Lytechinus pictus: one gene and its partner. The protein of the gene in region 1 purifies or fractionates together with the protein of each later gene. This does not show direct contact. Links are inferred from orthologs where the notes say so. Each region holds a gene or a part of one and is shown in the gene's direction. Other genes may lie near its edges.

Region 1 (7,652 bases):
TCTTCTGTTTCAGCAACTGAATTGATGGTTGGAGACCAGGCTGGAACACCAGCCTACCAGCAATATCCTTCTCAAGTACAAGTAAGTACTCTTTGTAAGGACCCCTGTTAAGTTGAATCGTTTTTAAGTTAATTGCTAAATATGCAACTCATATGCTGTTATAAAATTTAAGCATCAAAACATTTTGTGTAGATTATTGAATAATTTTTGAAAGGATATTTCAACTTGCCACCCCATAAAAAGAGCTATCTCATTCTGGCAGTGATGTCAATTCACCAGTTGTTAGCTAAATAAAGGGAATGAAGCTTTGCTAGAACGGACTAGCTATTCGTAGTCTCATTGAAAAGGTGCAATGTCAGACATGCTGTAGCATCACCAGGGAAAGAAAGGCAATGGACAGGTATTGTATGAAAGCATTTAATTCTATTTTAAGCGTGTGCTGAACTATGGAAAGTGACATACCGGTACTATTGTCTATTGTAAATTATTAGCGATGGTGACTTGGATTAGCAGTTGATGGCATGGTCAAGATGAGTGCTGAAGCTCTTTTGAAGAGGCGGAGCTTAGGAAGTTTAAAGAATATTCTTTCAAAATGTATGCCAATGGTAAATTAGATAACCCTTTTCACAGAGATCACCCAGGCAAGAAACTAGTTCTCCCTGATGGAATTGTTCTTGTCTGGCTCTTCTGCAATTGTGTCCAAAAAATAATAAATAAATAAATAAATCAGTTCCTGTTTTTTTTTATGTCACAGAAGAAACAAAAAGTATGTGTCATTTGCCTTTGCATTTCAGCAGGATGTTACCTTGTTGCACCCAAAATGTTTCATTCGCATTGATTCTAGGATGAGATAGTGCCTGAAATTTACACTCTCGTTATCACATCCTTTGACCATGCTCAAGTTACTCTTAGTTATTTCTAATCAATTTAAAAGGGATATTATTATAATAGTAAGCAGTTCCATGAGAGAATCCTTATTGTCCCTTATTGTTTATTCCAAGTGAGAGATTTATTAACGTTTTGCAATTTACATGCAAAAGAAGGTCAGTTCAATTATCATGTAAATATTTCATTTTCTTAAGGAAATCTGCATGTGTGTATATTCTTTTCCAGATACCGATGACCTTTACGTGATCTTTGTTTGGTGGTGTGCTGCCAATTTGATCATCATCACAAGTCAGACCAACACCTTGAATGCAGTTAGCTGTCAGATCTAGATTCCTGAAGGGCATCTTTATGCACAGGAGTCATACCCAGATTTGTTTTATTGCAAACATGGATTAGCATGCACAGGAGAGAACTCTTCAGGAGTTGCATGATTAGGTTTTTAGTTATGAGAATTATACAACTTTGATGCGCACATGAAATGAAAGCACTTGTGAGAGATGTCTTGTATAAAAGTAACCCTCCTTTTGGCTGTTTATGTTAACTTGGTTTCCCCCTCTGCACCCCCCAGCTCAAAGCTGTTTTGATCTGTATGCAATAAAAATGTGTTTTTACACTTTCCATAGTAGGTTTTCTGTGGATTTTGATTTAATTTCTCACTAACAAATTATTTCCCTTTTGAGTTACAACTCCTTTTATTGTTTCAACAATGATACATAACTCAGATTTATTGTAAATTTTTGGCTTTATGTCATATTTATCTCATCATTTATTTATGGGTTATTCATCCTATTTTTTATATCTCTTTGTTAAAATCAAATTTATATTTTACATGAGAATATGAAATTTGAATATAAATTTCAGTATGAATATGAGGGAATACCCTGCAGAACAGAATCATGCTTAAGTTACACAATTTCAAATGCTTTGATTAAATCACGATGAATGAATTAATTTCCCATTTCTAACATAAGGGGAATTGACTCTACTTAAATACTTAAAAGTAGAGATTGATTGATTGATTTGGTTAACTCAGTTTTCAAGGCCTTTACACCTGAATTGTAACCTTCAGCCATCAAGAGGTAATTGCTGGAGGCATTGTATTTTTAGATCACCTTTTGTCCATTCATTTTAGAATAATTGAATAAGTTTGATGGATCAATTTTAAATTCAAGTGACGTGTTAATTTGGCAGCGAGGATGATTTAACAAGATTTTAGGCTCGTGAGATCAAAGGTAAACAATAGCAGGTCATTATACACCTAAAAATATCTTGTTCTCACAGTAACAGAAAAATCATTAGATGGATAAACTTCACATATATAGATTTGAGTGCGAAGATTGGTCAAAAGTTCAGTCATGGGTCATAGACCCCTCCCCCTCCAAAAAAAGTTTGAAAAGCTTTGCCTGGAAAAGCCCAGTCATTATATGCTATGTAAGGTCCCATTCGCATAAAATTTAAAACTCTTGTTTGATGCAATGAACCAAAGAATAACACCTGGCTGTTCAGTCTCTGAAGTACTGGGTGGTGTTTAAGATGTTCGACTCTATGAAGGACTGGAACATATTCTCAGGTGATTTAGTCAGCTGCATAGGGATAAATCGTTTGACACATTGTAGGATCACCAGTTGTGCATAAAGTCATGTGTAAGTTACAAACAGTTATATGAAATCGCTCCCTGGATGTGCTGATTTTAGAAGAGAATGTAATGTGACCAAGAGTGGAAAATCATGACCTATATATATAATCAGGGTTCCCACAGTCATGGAAAATCCTGGAAATTTTTTTGTTCATTGAAAGTCAGGGAAAAGTCAGGGAATTTGGAAAATTTGTGAAAAGTCATGGAATCGCATTTACCTCTTGGCTATGGCAGCTTTCCAGTTTGTCGTTATTCGTAACTCTCATACTCTGCTATTATAATTGGTATTCATGATTTCCATTTTTCCCAGTTTTGTGACATCCCAAATTCTACATAACTCCCAGAACGTCACAGGAAGTCATGGAAAGCAGCAATTTAGTCATGGTAAAGTCATGGAATTGGTGTTTTCAAATTTTTGTGGGAACCCTGATAATGATTATATTATCAAAGGAGATGGGACAACTCTTTCAAAGTTAACATTTTCTTATGAATTTTCATTGTAATCCACACTCTGTATGAAGATGAAAATAGGGTGAGAAAAAAAATGGACCAACATTTCACAAAGATTGTAATTAGTAGTTGGAATTACAATGCATATTTATGATACTGAAATTGTGGCATTTGATTGGTGAAGAGTAAGTTTGTGATAAATTTGGTATGCATCACTGAAGATAACAAAAGAAACAATGCCCTGATGGGAAGACCTGTTGTTGATCATTTATTTTGTTTATCCTGTAAAGTGTAAAATTTTCTTGGCATTCCTGTTGTTTGTAATGTTTTGCTGCTTACACATGAAATGAAATTTTAATTAGAAAATAATGATGTATATATTGTAAATGGTTGTTCTCAAGTGTATTTGTATGTGTTTCACAACTTGGACATGGTTAATTTTTAAGGACCAGGGGCCTGTCTTACTAAGAGTTGCGATTGATCTGATCAATCGCAACTATGGAAAGCCAGAAAAGTCAACATCTAAAGTACATTTTCAAAATATTTTCTAGAAATGACATATGTTCATACATTCACTGTTTTTTCTTGACAATTCAGTATGCTTCTCTCTGTTTTCAAAGGACAATGAGCCAATTTCGTGAAAATAAAATATGAAATTAATGGATTTCCATATACTTGAGATTGATCGGATCAATCGTAACTCTTTGTAAGACAGGGCCATCGTGGGTTTGTGTATAGTTGTGTGGGAGAGAGAAGGGGAACGAGAACTTAGCGGAATGCTATATGGGTCTAGGAAGATTGGTAATTGTGTGAGAGGGTGTGTGCAGAAGGGGAAAATACTGCCAGGGGGACTGGAAAGCGGGGAGCAGATGCAGTTGCCCCTCTCTCCAAAATCCCCCACAATAATGATATTTATTTATCATATAGTCAAACCTGTTGAATGAGACAAGAAAAGCAGTCTTTGTGGAAAGACTCCCATAATGTGTAAAGTTCTTCAAGGAAAACCAAATTTGTGGTCTTAAAAATAGCCAGGTGATCCTTCTATATAGGCAGTTGCTGAAGCAGGTTTGACTGTGCGTTATCATAACTTAATAAAAAAATCATTCAACATATTACCTTTCATTGTAAAGCATAGAATATTCTCTTTCCTCTGGTGTAACTTCTTATTCACGCATTTAGTGAAAGCAATTTGAAAAAGAAAGGATACCAAAAGGCTTTTGGTAGGTGGTATATGAATTTCAAAAAAGAAAATCACAAGTCTCAAAAGTTAAATATCTGGTTTTTAATAAAGGACAAGTCCACCCCAACAAAATTTGATTTGAATAAAAAGAGAAAAATCCAACAAGCATAACGCTGAAAATGTCATTGAAATCGGATGTAAAATAAGAAAGTTATGACATTTTTAAAATATGGACATCCTGGTCGGTATGCAAATGAGGGAACTGATGACATCACTCGCTCACTATTTCTGTTTTATTTTATGAAATATCCTAATTTTCTCCCCATTGTCATTTGAAACAAATTTTTATTTCTCCCTGAACATGTGGAATTACCATTGTTTTTTTACATTTTATGGTTCAGTCAAGTTTGTCCTTGATGTCAAATCTGTATAAAAATTGAAATCTTGTATAATTCTTTGCCACTGATCTATAGAGCTAGAGGGGAGATAGATGTTCATTGCACGCCGCTGATCTGAGCGAAAACTCGCTACAGTTAAACTGCACTGAGTCTTGAACATAGAATAAGTAAAAAATTAAATATACTCGCTAGCGCTAGCGCGCGCGGTACGGGTATTGGTACACGTGCAAAATGGCGAAAACATCGCACAGACCCGGTCCTTTAAAACAGCAAAATAAAGGCCACAAAACTGGACGACATCGTAGTAAAGGCAAAATCGACGTTGAATTAAAGGGTAAGTTACTTTTATAACTTTCTTTGATGTGTCGCTCTTCCAGGAAAATCCTTTTACTCGGTGATTTGATATTTCCGGTTGAAGACTTCATCGTTGTTCCCTTACTAGCCCTAGTCCCACACGTACAGATTAATGTGGTGCCGGTACCGATTAGTCGAAGATTTCTAATAGTAATACCTAGGCCCTAATTATTTTAAGAACGTAACTTTACTAATGTAACAAATTTTTATATCAATTCCCGATCCGATTTTTCCATTTTTCTTAAATTTGTTTCGATCTCTGATTTTTTATGTCTGCATCTGGATAAAATGAAAAAGATCGGTTTTAAATTTAAGTTAACAATAACAACATGGAGTCATGTCATGACTCAGTCATTGTTAACTTTTAGTTTTAGTTTTATGGCTTATGCAAAAACATTAATTATTACAGAAATACAGTGGCCCAGTGGGTGATTTCAAGTACGGCGCGGTGTTGAAATCTGGGGGGCGTTTCATGAAAGGACTTGTCGGACGTTTTATCCGACAAGTCTCATTTTATCCGACAGTTACCGTCCATAGGAACAGTGCCTCTCACTCTCAGTCTCAGCTAGCCAGGCGGCTTCTAGAGAGTAAAAATCATTTACTAACGTAGCGTAAGGTCACTCTCATACGAAGCCAGGGCTTCCGTCATATACTTTTGCGTGTACCACCAAAAAACCTGAAACTTTCGCCCCCGAAATTTCTACTTTCTTTCTAAAAGATCTAGCCCTAAATCATGTTGTACATGGGATAAAACTTCATTTCCGACATTTCTATGCTCTCGTTGTTATTTTTTAACAAGAATTCATCAAAAAAATGAGAGAAATATTGTGTAAAGACGGAAGAGACTCGCCCGATGTTTACGCCGCCATCTTGTTTTCTATTGTTCTTCCCCAACGTTACCCGACGCACGCGTCTGTAACGTTGGCGAAGAACAAATCAATAGAAAACAAGATGGCGGCGTAAACATCGGGCGAGTCTCTTCCGTCTTTACACAATATTTCTCTCATTTTTTTGATGAATTCTTGTTAAAAAATAACAACGAGAGCGTAGAAATGTCAGAAATGAAGTTTTATCCCATGTACATGATTTAGCAGTAGAGGCGCACGGCCAATATGGGAGACTCTCTCCAATAGAATAGGGGAGACAATCTCCCACATTGGAGACTTGCTTTGCAAAAGGACAAAAGAAACAACACCAACAAAAGCATGATTTTTTCCACCCAAAATTTTGTCTCACTGAGGTCAGAAGCCCATTTGTTTTGTGTGTGATTGACAACAAAAATCCTTATCAAAACAAAAGTAGACAGTGAATATTTAAAGTAGACGGTGAAAAGAGGTAATTTTTCATGAGGAATCTGCTTATCACATTTTTATTTGCCGCCAAGGTAATCCTTTTGCAGCAAATGTAAACAAAGGAAATTGGACTCCAAAACTGGAGACTGTCTCTGAAATTGGATACCCAAATTCTTTACAAAAGTCTCTGATATTGGAGATAATCTCTCACATTGGAGACAGTCTCCAATATTGGCCGTGCGCCTCTACTGTTTAGGGCTAGATCTTTTAGAAAGAAAGTAGAAATCTCGGGGGTGAAAGTTTCAGGTTTTGGCTTCCATTGTGTGGGTCTATGGGATAGAAGGCCTGGCTTCATGAGAGTGACCTTACGTTAGTAAATGATTTTTACTCTCTAGAAGCCGCCTGGCTACTCTCAGCCAATCAAAATCATGGAAAGATGTCAGAATGATGTCAGATCTGACAACTTGTCGGATAAAAATATTGATGAAACGCTCCCCTGGTGTTGGTGTTGTGACAATACCAGCCACAACACTGTACTTGAAATCAGGCTGGTGTTGGGATTGACCTCGGAATATATGACATATTTCCGGCAGTTCGTGTTGAAGGATGGTGCGTGAAGTTGAGATGATTTAGCAGCGCAGAGGCGTGACGTCATGTGCTATCGACAACGCAATCAGTATCGTTCCTCTGAACCCAGCTCGGTGTTGGAGCTCGGTTCAGCGGCCTTTTTACGCTCTCAACACCAAAACCAACACTGAACACCGTACTTGAAATCACCCATTAACATCATTTTTTTTCTCATATAAAAAAAAGTATAAAAAAATGAAAAAGCATGTGTAGGTATGTTGCAAAAAAATAAATTTGAGAAATCGGGTGTTTGCTTCATAGCATCATTTAGAGCTCATCAAGACCTTTCATTTAATACCTCATTTCAATAGCCCCAGTAACAAGAAAGTTAAAACTTTGGTAGTTTTTTAAGTTCGCACAAATCGCCTCTTCAATTCTTATGTATTCCTTTGTTTTTGAAAAACAAAAGTTGTGACCTTAATTGGGACCAAGGTGCACTAATAATAGAAAACAACAATGCGCATACATTGGTATATGGAAGTGCCCAACAACAGTCAACAAAAATCACAGACATCGCCGAAACGGACATAAAAAACACACTTAGCGTCAGTAGATTTCTTTCAAATTTCACCACAATGTACGGTAGTTGAAATGTTGTTCTATTGGAATGAATACCTTTTAGAGTGGGATGATACCTGTAAATATGAATAGCAAGAAGTTGAAAGCAAGACCAAAGTTCCATTAGCACACAGAGTTGCAAGATCACCGAGTGAGGTTTTTTTTTTCAAGTCTGGACAGCTGCCATAAATATTCAACTACGTAAAATCAATGATGTCATTGGGAATAACCTTTCCTTGCACATGTAAACACCCCGGGGGGGGGGGGGG
Region 2 (7,776 bases), on another chromosome or scaffold:
ATTTGTATACCGTACCGGTACCGGTACCGTACAGATTCTCAACAAGAAATGTGGAGCTTCAACAAAAGTAATTTCTAGAGACTAGATTCTAAGGCTGGAGTACGGTGCCAATTTTCACTCTTTTTAAGTAAACTTCACTACAGTCTATTTTCTTCCAACTCACCATCCAACTTTTACTTCTGCTCCCTGTTTCCTCTTCAAAGTAAAATAAAAAATCTCCTTTGTCAAAAATCGCCCACACGCACGCTCACTTGAATCATACATGCAAACTTACGTTGCGTTATTGCGTTGCGGCAAAAACTGGCGATTACCGGCGACCAATAGTAGGAGGGTAACGGTAGCGACCGAAAAAAGATTTAATTATTTATTTTTTAATTTTCTCGAAGGTGCAGAAAGTAATGATGGGGCGCGGATCCAACAATTCCAAGGGAGGGGGGGGGGGGGGGGTGGATTACAGAAAAATTTGTGTGAAATTTTGGGGTTGATATTGCGATGGAGAATATCACTTATTGCATTTTTTCTGCGTACTATCTGCATTTTAGCCTTAGGGTCTACTTCATAACCACCATTAATTTGAAGCATGAACAAGATTATCATATTGAACCATAGAGATGTATACTATACATCTCTTTGTATTGAACCAATAATGCTATAACGCGAAGTACGAGCTGATTTTTTTTTTCTACTGATCCGAAGGGGGCAGTCATTTGAATTATTATTTAACCAATAATGCGAGCGTGAAGCCAGAGCTGAAATTTTTTGTTTCTCTTTGATCTGAATTGAAAATCATAAGGCTGCAGCACCATTTTAATTCATGAACAAGAGGCATATAATGATGCGGTGCGAAGCACGAGCTATATGATCTGAAGAAGGACAGATTTTAATTCAAGCGACATTTGAATCCAGATAAGCCTAAAGTTGTCAATGCAAGCAAAATTTATTGATATGCTGACCTGAAAACGGCAGTTTTGTATCGTGAAAAGGACTTCTTATAAAATTTATTTTCAATTATTTGGAAGCATTAATGCCACTCATATCTCCCTAAACAATATATATTATATATATTGTTACGAAATGAAAGGTTTATTTAATTCAGTATGGTTCGTGACAGTGAAGAGCGTAGAATATATTTTTAATCCCTGTAATATATATAGTTGCATATTCAGTAATCGATTGTTTGTAATCGATTATGTAGGTATTTTCTTTAAAATGTATAAAATTTACTAATTATTTTGCTGAGAAAAAACGATGTTTACAATTATATGCTCATATTATTTACTTTTAATTGCTCCTTACTGTTTGGGTATAAAAAAAGCGACAAACACCATTGCCGTTGCTGGAAAGATTTATTTTATGAATTTAACTGTTTTTTTTTTTTAATCAGGCTCTAGCTTAACAGCCTATAGCTGACAATTTGATGAGAGGCGGTAACCAAAAGTTGACCATAATCGAGCGTGGGCCTGCAATCTAAGCTATGTGGGGAAGTTACAAATTGATGCGGAGGTTCGAGGTTCGGGACCTGGTCACGTCTTTCGGATGGTGGCGTTAAAGGTCGTTCCTAACGTAAAAAATCATATCTGATTGATACACGTTTGACAAAACTCAAATACACACACACATCTTCGGTTACGAGCCATGCCATATGCTTGACAAAGAGGTTTCTGCGCGAAACTCTGCCCAATTTTCAATGGAACCTGCTGGGACAGGATGAGTTTGATTTCTTCAGTAAAGTTATAAGAGCTAGAGATGAATGCTTGCTTCTTACTTGTCGTTATTTTGTTGTATGGAGCTAGCAACAATGGTCGGAAAAGCAGAAGTATGAAAGTGTTGGAAGTACTGACTAGAAGGAGTGAGAATACTGGCTTTACTGAGATACGGAAAATACTGAGATGAGTGAGGATACTGAGAGTACTGAAATTACTGAGATACCGAAATGATTAAATTACGGAGATACTGAATACTAGAATGATTGAGATAATGGAGATACGGAATGACGGAAATGTTGAAATCCATGAGCTAAAATAATCTAAGTTACTGAGTGAGAAGGAACAATTAAAAAGAGTCAGAAGTGCAAGGCCGACGGCCCTTTACACCAACTGGTTGTACAGTGCGTCCCCCAAAAAAATATACACTTTTGAAATGGCTGCCAAATAAAAAATGTATCACTTGGGGGGGGGGGGGAGACTTATATATATGGAAAGCCAATAAAGCCAACTTTCATGCTTGAGCGAGCAGTGCCCACTGAAACAAAGGGTATGGAAATTAGGCTAGATAGGCCTGAATTAGCCTTCCAATTTCTTCCAGTTTGTTTTGTATATTGGCTTTCCCCCGAGGTGATACATTTTTTATTTGGCAGCCATTTCAAAAGTGTATAGTTTTTTGGGGGACGCACTGCATATTGCAGCCTAAACGAACCAGCTCGTCAGGAAAGAAAGTCGGTTCGGCTACAATATATAATTATATATATATATATATATATATATATATATATATATATATAATATATACAAATGTGTGAAATTATACATGTACAACAGCTTTTTTATTTAAATATTTTGTGAAAGAAATGGATGAAGAGAACAATGGTAGGCGTAGCTTAAATCAAGGTTCCCCAGAGCTATCTACCCTTTGGAAAAATTGGCAATGCCTTAAAAAGGTCTCTGCCGGGAATCAAACCCGGGCCCCCAGCTTTGACGCCGGTGCCTTAACCACTAGACCACAGAGACGGGTTAGTGGCTAGGGCGACCCCGATCCGATTGACCGTCAGATAGACAGATTTTCGACACTATATATATATATATATATATATACTGTATATATATATACAAGTACAATGCATTACCACTTTGCCTCATTAATATCTTCTATGTCCAACACGCGGAACGTAATATCGTCATATATATATATATATACGGCATTTACTAAACCATTACAATTATCTTATTCCATGTGCCGAAGCAGTCTATTTCTATTTTACTCAGGTACTTTTTACTGTTAAACCTCGACTGTTGGCGGCGAGGCCTTTTCATTTTCCTGTTTTGGAGGCAGAGAAACGCCTTTGTCATCTTGCAGTCATGGCAACGTGTGTTTAGATGCGTCTTTTACAGTGCGCTTCCTCCATCTTCAGCGCATTGATTTCTTTGAAAGGTCACGTATAGTTTCACAGTCCGTATGCCCATGAACAGATGTGTTTTTCACGATTTGTTTCAGAAACGGATTTTAAATTCTCTTTTTGTCACATCATGGGCACTCATGCATGCATGGGCGGAAATCCCAGGGGGGGGGGTGCAGGGGGACGGGGGGAGGGGCGTCGACAAAAATAGTAGAGGGACACAATATAAAATGCCCCCTACTATTTATGATATTTTATGAGTGAGAAAAATTCATCATTTACAATAAAAATAATGCATGTATTTTGGACTAAATGACCTTACATTTCTTGGTGAAAACCTTTTTTTTGCTTGTCAAATTTTTTTTTGGGGTTATAATGACTTTACATTTTGGGTGATAACCTTTTCTTTTTTTTGTCTGTACCTTTTGGGACAGATTTCTGAGAGCTATACGCTCCTTTCAAAATCTATGATTAATATATATATATATATATATATATATATATATATATATATATATATATATCAACTTCATAATCTCCGTTTTATATATATATATATATATATATATATATATATATATATATATATATATATATATATATATATATATAACGATATTACATTCCGCGTGTTGGACATAGATGATATTAATGAGGCAAAGTGGTAATGTATTGTACTTAGTTCCAACAGTTTATTTTGAATTCCAAATTTTCGACGTTAAACATACGTCTTCTTCAGGGATCCAATAAAGCTCACAGCGAAAAGAACTAAAATAATAACATTCATGATTGTGGTAGTCATGGAACCGCGCACAAAACAGCATCACCATCATAATATAATTAAAAAAACATATACATTTATAGTTTTCTTTGTATTACAAGGATCATTGAATGCATTATCCCACTTGTTTTGTGATGTAATTTCAACCTCTATGATTGCATTTTACGTAAGATTGTAATTTTCAAATTTCTAGGCACTTTTGCATGTCATAGTCTACCCACGTGATGCCGGCCACTACGTCATTAAGAAAGAAGTTATGTTATAGAGGTTGTTTTACCTGACTGCTAAGAAAGCACGAATGCCTGTGAGCAAGCAACCAGGGGACCAACGGCTTAAGGTCCTCTCCGAGGGACCTGGTAATGAGGATAAGTGCGGGGATAAGTGCCTTACCAAAGGGCACTAGCGCACCACTTGGGAATCGAACCCGGGTCACCAGAATCCGAAACCCCCGCTCTACCGACCGTCTGAGCTATCGCGCCTCCCTTAAATGACAGGTTCGGAGGTGTCAAAAATATTTAGTGAGGTTGTTGTACCCGATCTTGGTAAAGAGGGCTTCGTGAAACGGTTAGCGGACAAGTAGCTCACTATCTCTGATTTAGTCAAGAAGTTAGACTTATATGACGGTGTTGAGAAACGGGCCCCTGGCGGCCCGCCTTTACTTTCCCTTATCAACCGGGGGATCAACAACTTTAATTTTAAGTGTAAAGAAAAACAACAAAATTTAGCAAGGCAACAAAACAAAACATGTAGGCAGAATGTACTGACTTAATTTGCCTAGAAAAAATCAACATTTATAATACCCACAAAAAAGAAAGAAATTTGTTTATTTTATTTTATTTTTTAATCTGCTAGCTTCATTGCTTGCGCGTGCTTATTAGTCGCCAGGCGCTAGCCAGAGAGAGCTCGGCTAGCTGCTGACGTGACCGCTGCTATGCTATGCTGACTATACTACTGCATGCCGTAATATATTATAAGGTCTTTGACTGCATGCATGCATGCTGCAACTGCTGCCGAGCGCGACATGTCGACAGCAACAGTACCGGTATATTTTATACCGGTACGGTACACGTGAATTGTGTTAATTGATATTGACATCACAATAGTATTAGTAATATATTATTATGGGGAAAACAAAGAAGAATCGACCAAAAAGAGGAGACCCTGTCTTCACGAGTGGACCACTGGCAGAGCAAATAGAAAATGAAGACACTCTCAAAGTCTCTCAACGAGTGAAGGAACGTAGACGAAAGGATGAAGAGGACTGTGTAAGGCCATTTTTTTACTCAATTAGATCTAGGCGTATCACTATCAGTCCCATACATGGGAATTCGTGTGTGTCGTGATTGAAGACAACCGAACAGTTCAATTTCAAGCCTCAAGGTTTAGTTTTTGGTTTTGAAATGTCATAATTTAGAAAGTATATGTACCAATTTCATAAAATGTAGACTTTAAGGGATACTTTGGGCTGAAAATATTTAAATCTAAATAAATAGAGTAAAATTCACAGATCAAATTCAAAATGCTTAAAATTTTATTAAAATCGGATAACAAACAGTAGAGGCGCACGACCAATATGGGAGACTCTCTCCAATAGGGGAGACAATCTCCCACATTGGAGACTTGCTTTACAAAAGGACAAAAGAAACAACACCAACAAAAGCATGATTTTTTCCACCCCAAATTTTGTCTCACTGACTGACTGAGGTCAGAAGCCCATTTGTTTTGTGTGTGATTGACAACAAAAATCCTTATCAAAAAGTAGACGGTGAAAAGGGGTAATTTTTCATGAGGAATCTGCTTATCACATTTTTATTTGCCGCCAAGGTAATCCTTTTGCAGCAAATGTAAACAAAGGAAATTGGATTCCAAAACTGGAGACTGTCTCTAAAATTGGATACCAAAATTCTTTACAAAAGTCTCTGATATTGGAGATAATCTCCCACATTGGAGATAGTCTCCAATATTGGCCGTGCGCCTCTACTGACAAACAATGTTATCCGATTTTAATAAAATTTGTTTGAAACATGACAAAGACCAAAGTCAAGATAGAGACTTAGAGAGTAAAGAAGACTAAAGTGCCCAAATATCGGACACTTAAGTATAATTGGACCAAAAATAAAATACATTCATTGAATCAAATAAAAATAATGTTTATTTCTGTAGTATAAATGTTGAATATCATAATGTATGTCATCACGCTCTAACTTTTTTAGACCCCAAAATAATTGCTTAATTGTTGATAAAATAATTTATTTTAGCTGTGCAAATGCCGATTTTAATTATTATTATTATTATCAATAATTTTGATATAGAACTCGGTAAATAATGATGATTTACTTACAGGGTTGTTTGATTTAAATCATGTCGATTTAAATCATGATTTAAATCGCGATTTAAATCACTTGATTTTTTTCAAAAAAATCACTGATTTAAATCAACTTTTATGAAAAAAATTAGTTTTCTCTATTTTCTCTTCTTCTTAACAGATACTTTCAATGTAATCATTTTCATTTCTGTTCCACATGCTTTAGAGATACTTTAAAAGAATGATACACCCTCATGGAGTCTGATTTAACACCACTGTTTTATTTTCAAATTGTAAAACAAGCAAAACTGATGAAAACAACAAGTTTCTAACGAAGTAATGATAAATAACTCTCTGTATCTACACCAAACTGTTAAATCTTCAATAAAATAATATATAAAATCTACAAAGGTGCTCAAAGTCCACAACTTGGATACTTTTACAAAACAGTTGAACTACTTGTATGTACCTCCTTGTTACTATTAATACCCATTCTTTCAAAAACCCTTTGTTTATTAGCTATTACCAGCTGTTAGTTGGGAAGTCCCCCATGTGATAGTTCTAGGAAATATTCCTAGCTAAAATCCCCCATGTGATAATTCTAGGAAATATTCCCAGCTAGAATTCCCAAGGGCAGTATAAGAACCCTAACAGGCCTTTAATAATGTCAATTTTGTTGGAAATTCTCAAGTTCTTTGAGTACTTCATGCATTGGAGTAACACTTCGGATGTTTTGAACTGACTGATATAAAAATTTCAAGAGTTTAAATGTATACATAATACATAACATTACTTGGGCTTCCATAAAATGTCCCTCTCTATAATGCAAATAAATAAAAAAAAAATAAAAAAATTACCTGTATATAAGTGGATTATTGTGTCAAATAGTACAATACACAATGTTCAAAAGACTACTTGACCACTATTATTGGTGTAAAACAGTTTAAATATAGTTTAAAACTTGTTAAGTGTGACCATTATTTTTCGTTGGAAAAAAATCAAAAAAATCTGATTTAAATCATAAAAATCAGATTTAAATAAAAAAAATCAAAAAAATCAACAACCCTGTTTACTTACCAAATGGACCTCTTTTGTTTTGGCTCCGAACATCGGATGTCTTCGCTCAGTTGCATGCAACTTCGTTCTGAAAACGAGCGCGCGCACCTCAACAGCTCGTGTTTCAAATTCAATCGGCCGATATGTTTGATTTTTAGGATCATGCCATATTTGGAAGGGTGTCAAATTTCCTGCCGTAAGGAACCCCCGCGGAGGCCATTGCAGATTTTTGGGTGATAGAGCGAACATGTGCGATCTCGGCAGCGATATAGTATCCTTAAATTAGACCCCAAACTAGCCAATCTGGAATAAAATTATTGGAAATGGTTTTTCAACTGATTTGAGTAGGTATGGGTGTCAACATTTACCAAAAAAAGTTAGGAGGAATACGGGATGGGGAAAGTGTTTTTTTTTCAAGGTCAATGACCTTTTCATATATACTGTATAGTGGTATCTCTGAGATGGAAGGGTGCAGGTTGGTGATAATGGTGTGAAAATGCACAAATTCTTACCAGAATATCA

The links. Proteins that work in one complex are often made in the same cells at the same time.
Region 2: the proteins of pre-rRNA-processing protein TSR1 homolog (region 1) and bystin-like purify together in Homo sapiens (affinity purification with mass spectrometry; 3 studies listed by BioGRID and IntAct, counting the BioPlex papers as one, with this or other methods). This does not show direct contact. The link is inferred for Lytechinus pictus from reciprocal best matches to the Homo sapiens genes TSR1 and BYSL.

Annotation. Positions count from the first base shown.
Region 1 is NC_087247.1:46,017,641-46,025,292, reverse strand, and holds the start of pre-rRNA-processing protein TSR1 homolog, read left to right. Parts: upstream 1-4,650; 5' UTR 4,651-4,783; coding exon 4,784-4,886; intron 4,887-7,652. Other genes in the region: nuclear transcription factor Y subunit beta-like, read left to right, coding at 14-81, 1,114-1,134. UniProt on the Homo sapiens protein: Required during maturation of the 40S ribosomal subunit in the nucleolus.
Region 2 is NC_087245.1:8,162,669-8,170,444, reverse strand, and holds the start of bystin-like, read left to right. Parts: upstream 1-4,766; 5' UTR 4,767-5,014; coding exon 5,015-5,158; intron 5,159-7,776. Other genes in the region: uncharacterized protein LOC135153137, read right to left, coding at 164-166. UniProt on the Homo sapiens protein: Required for processing of 20S pre-rRNA precursor and biogenesis of 40S ribosomal subunits. May be required for trophinin-dependent regulation of cell adhesion during implantation of human embryos.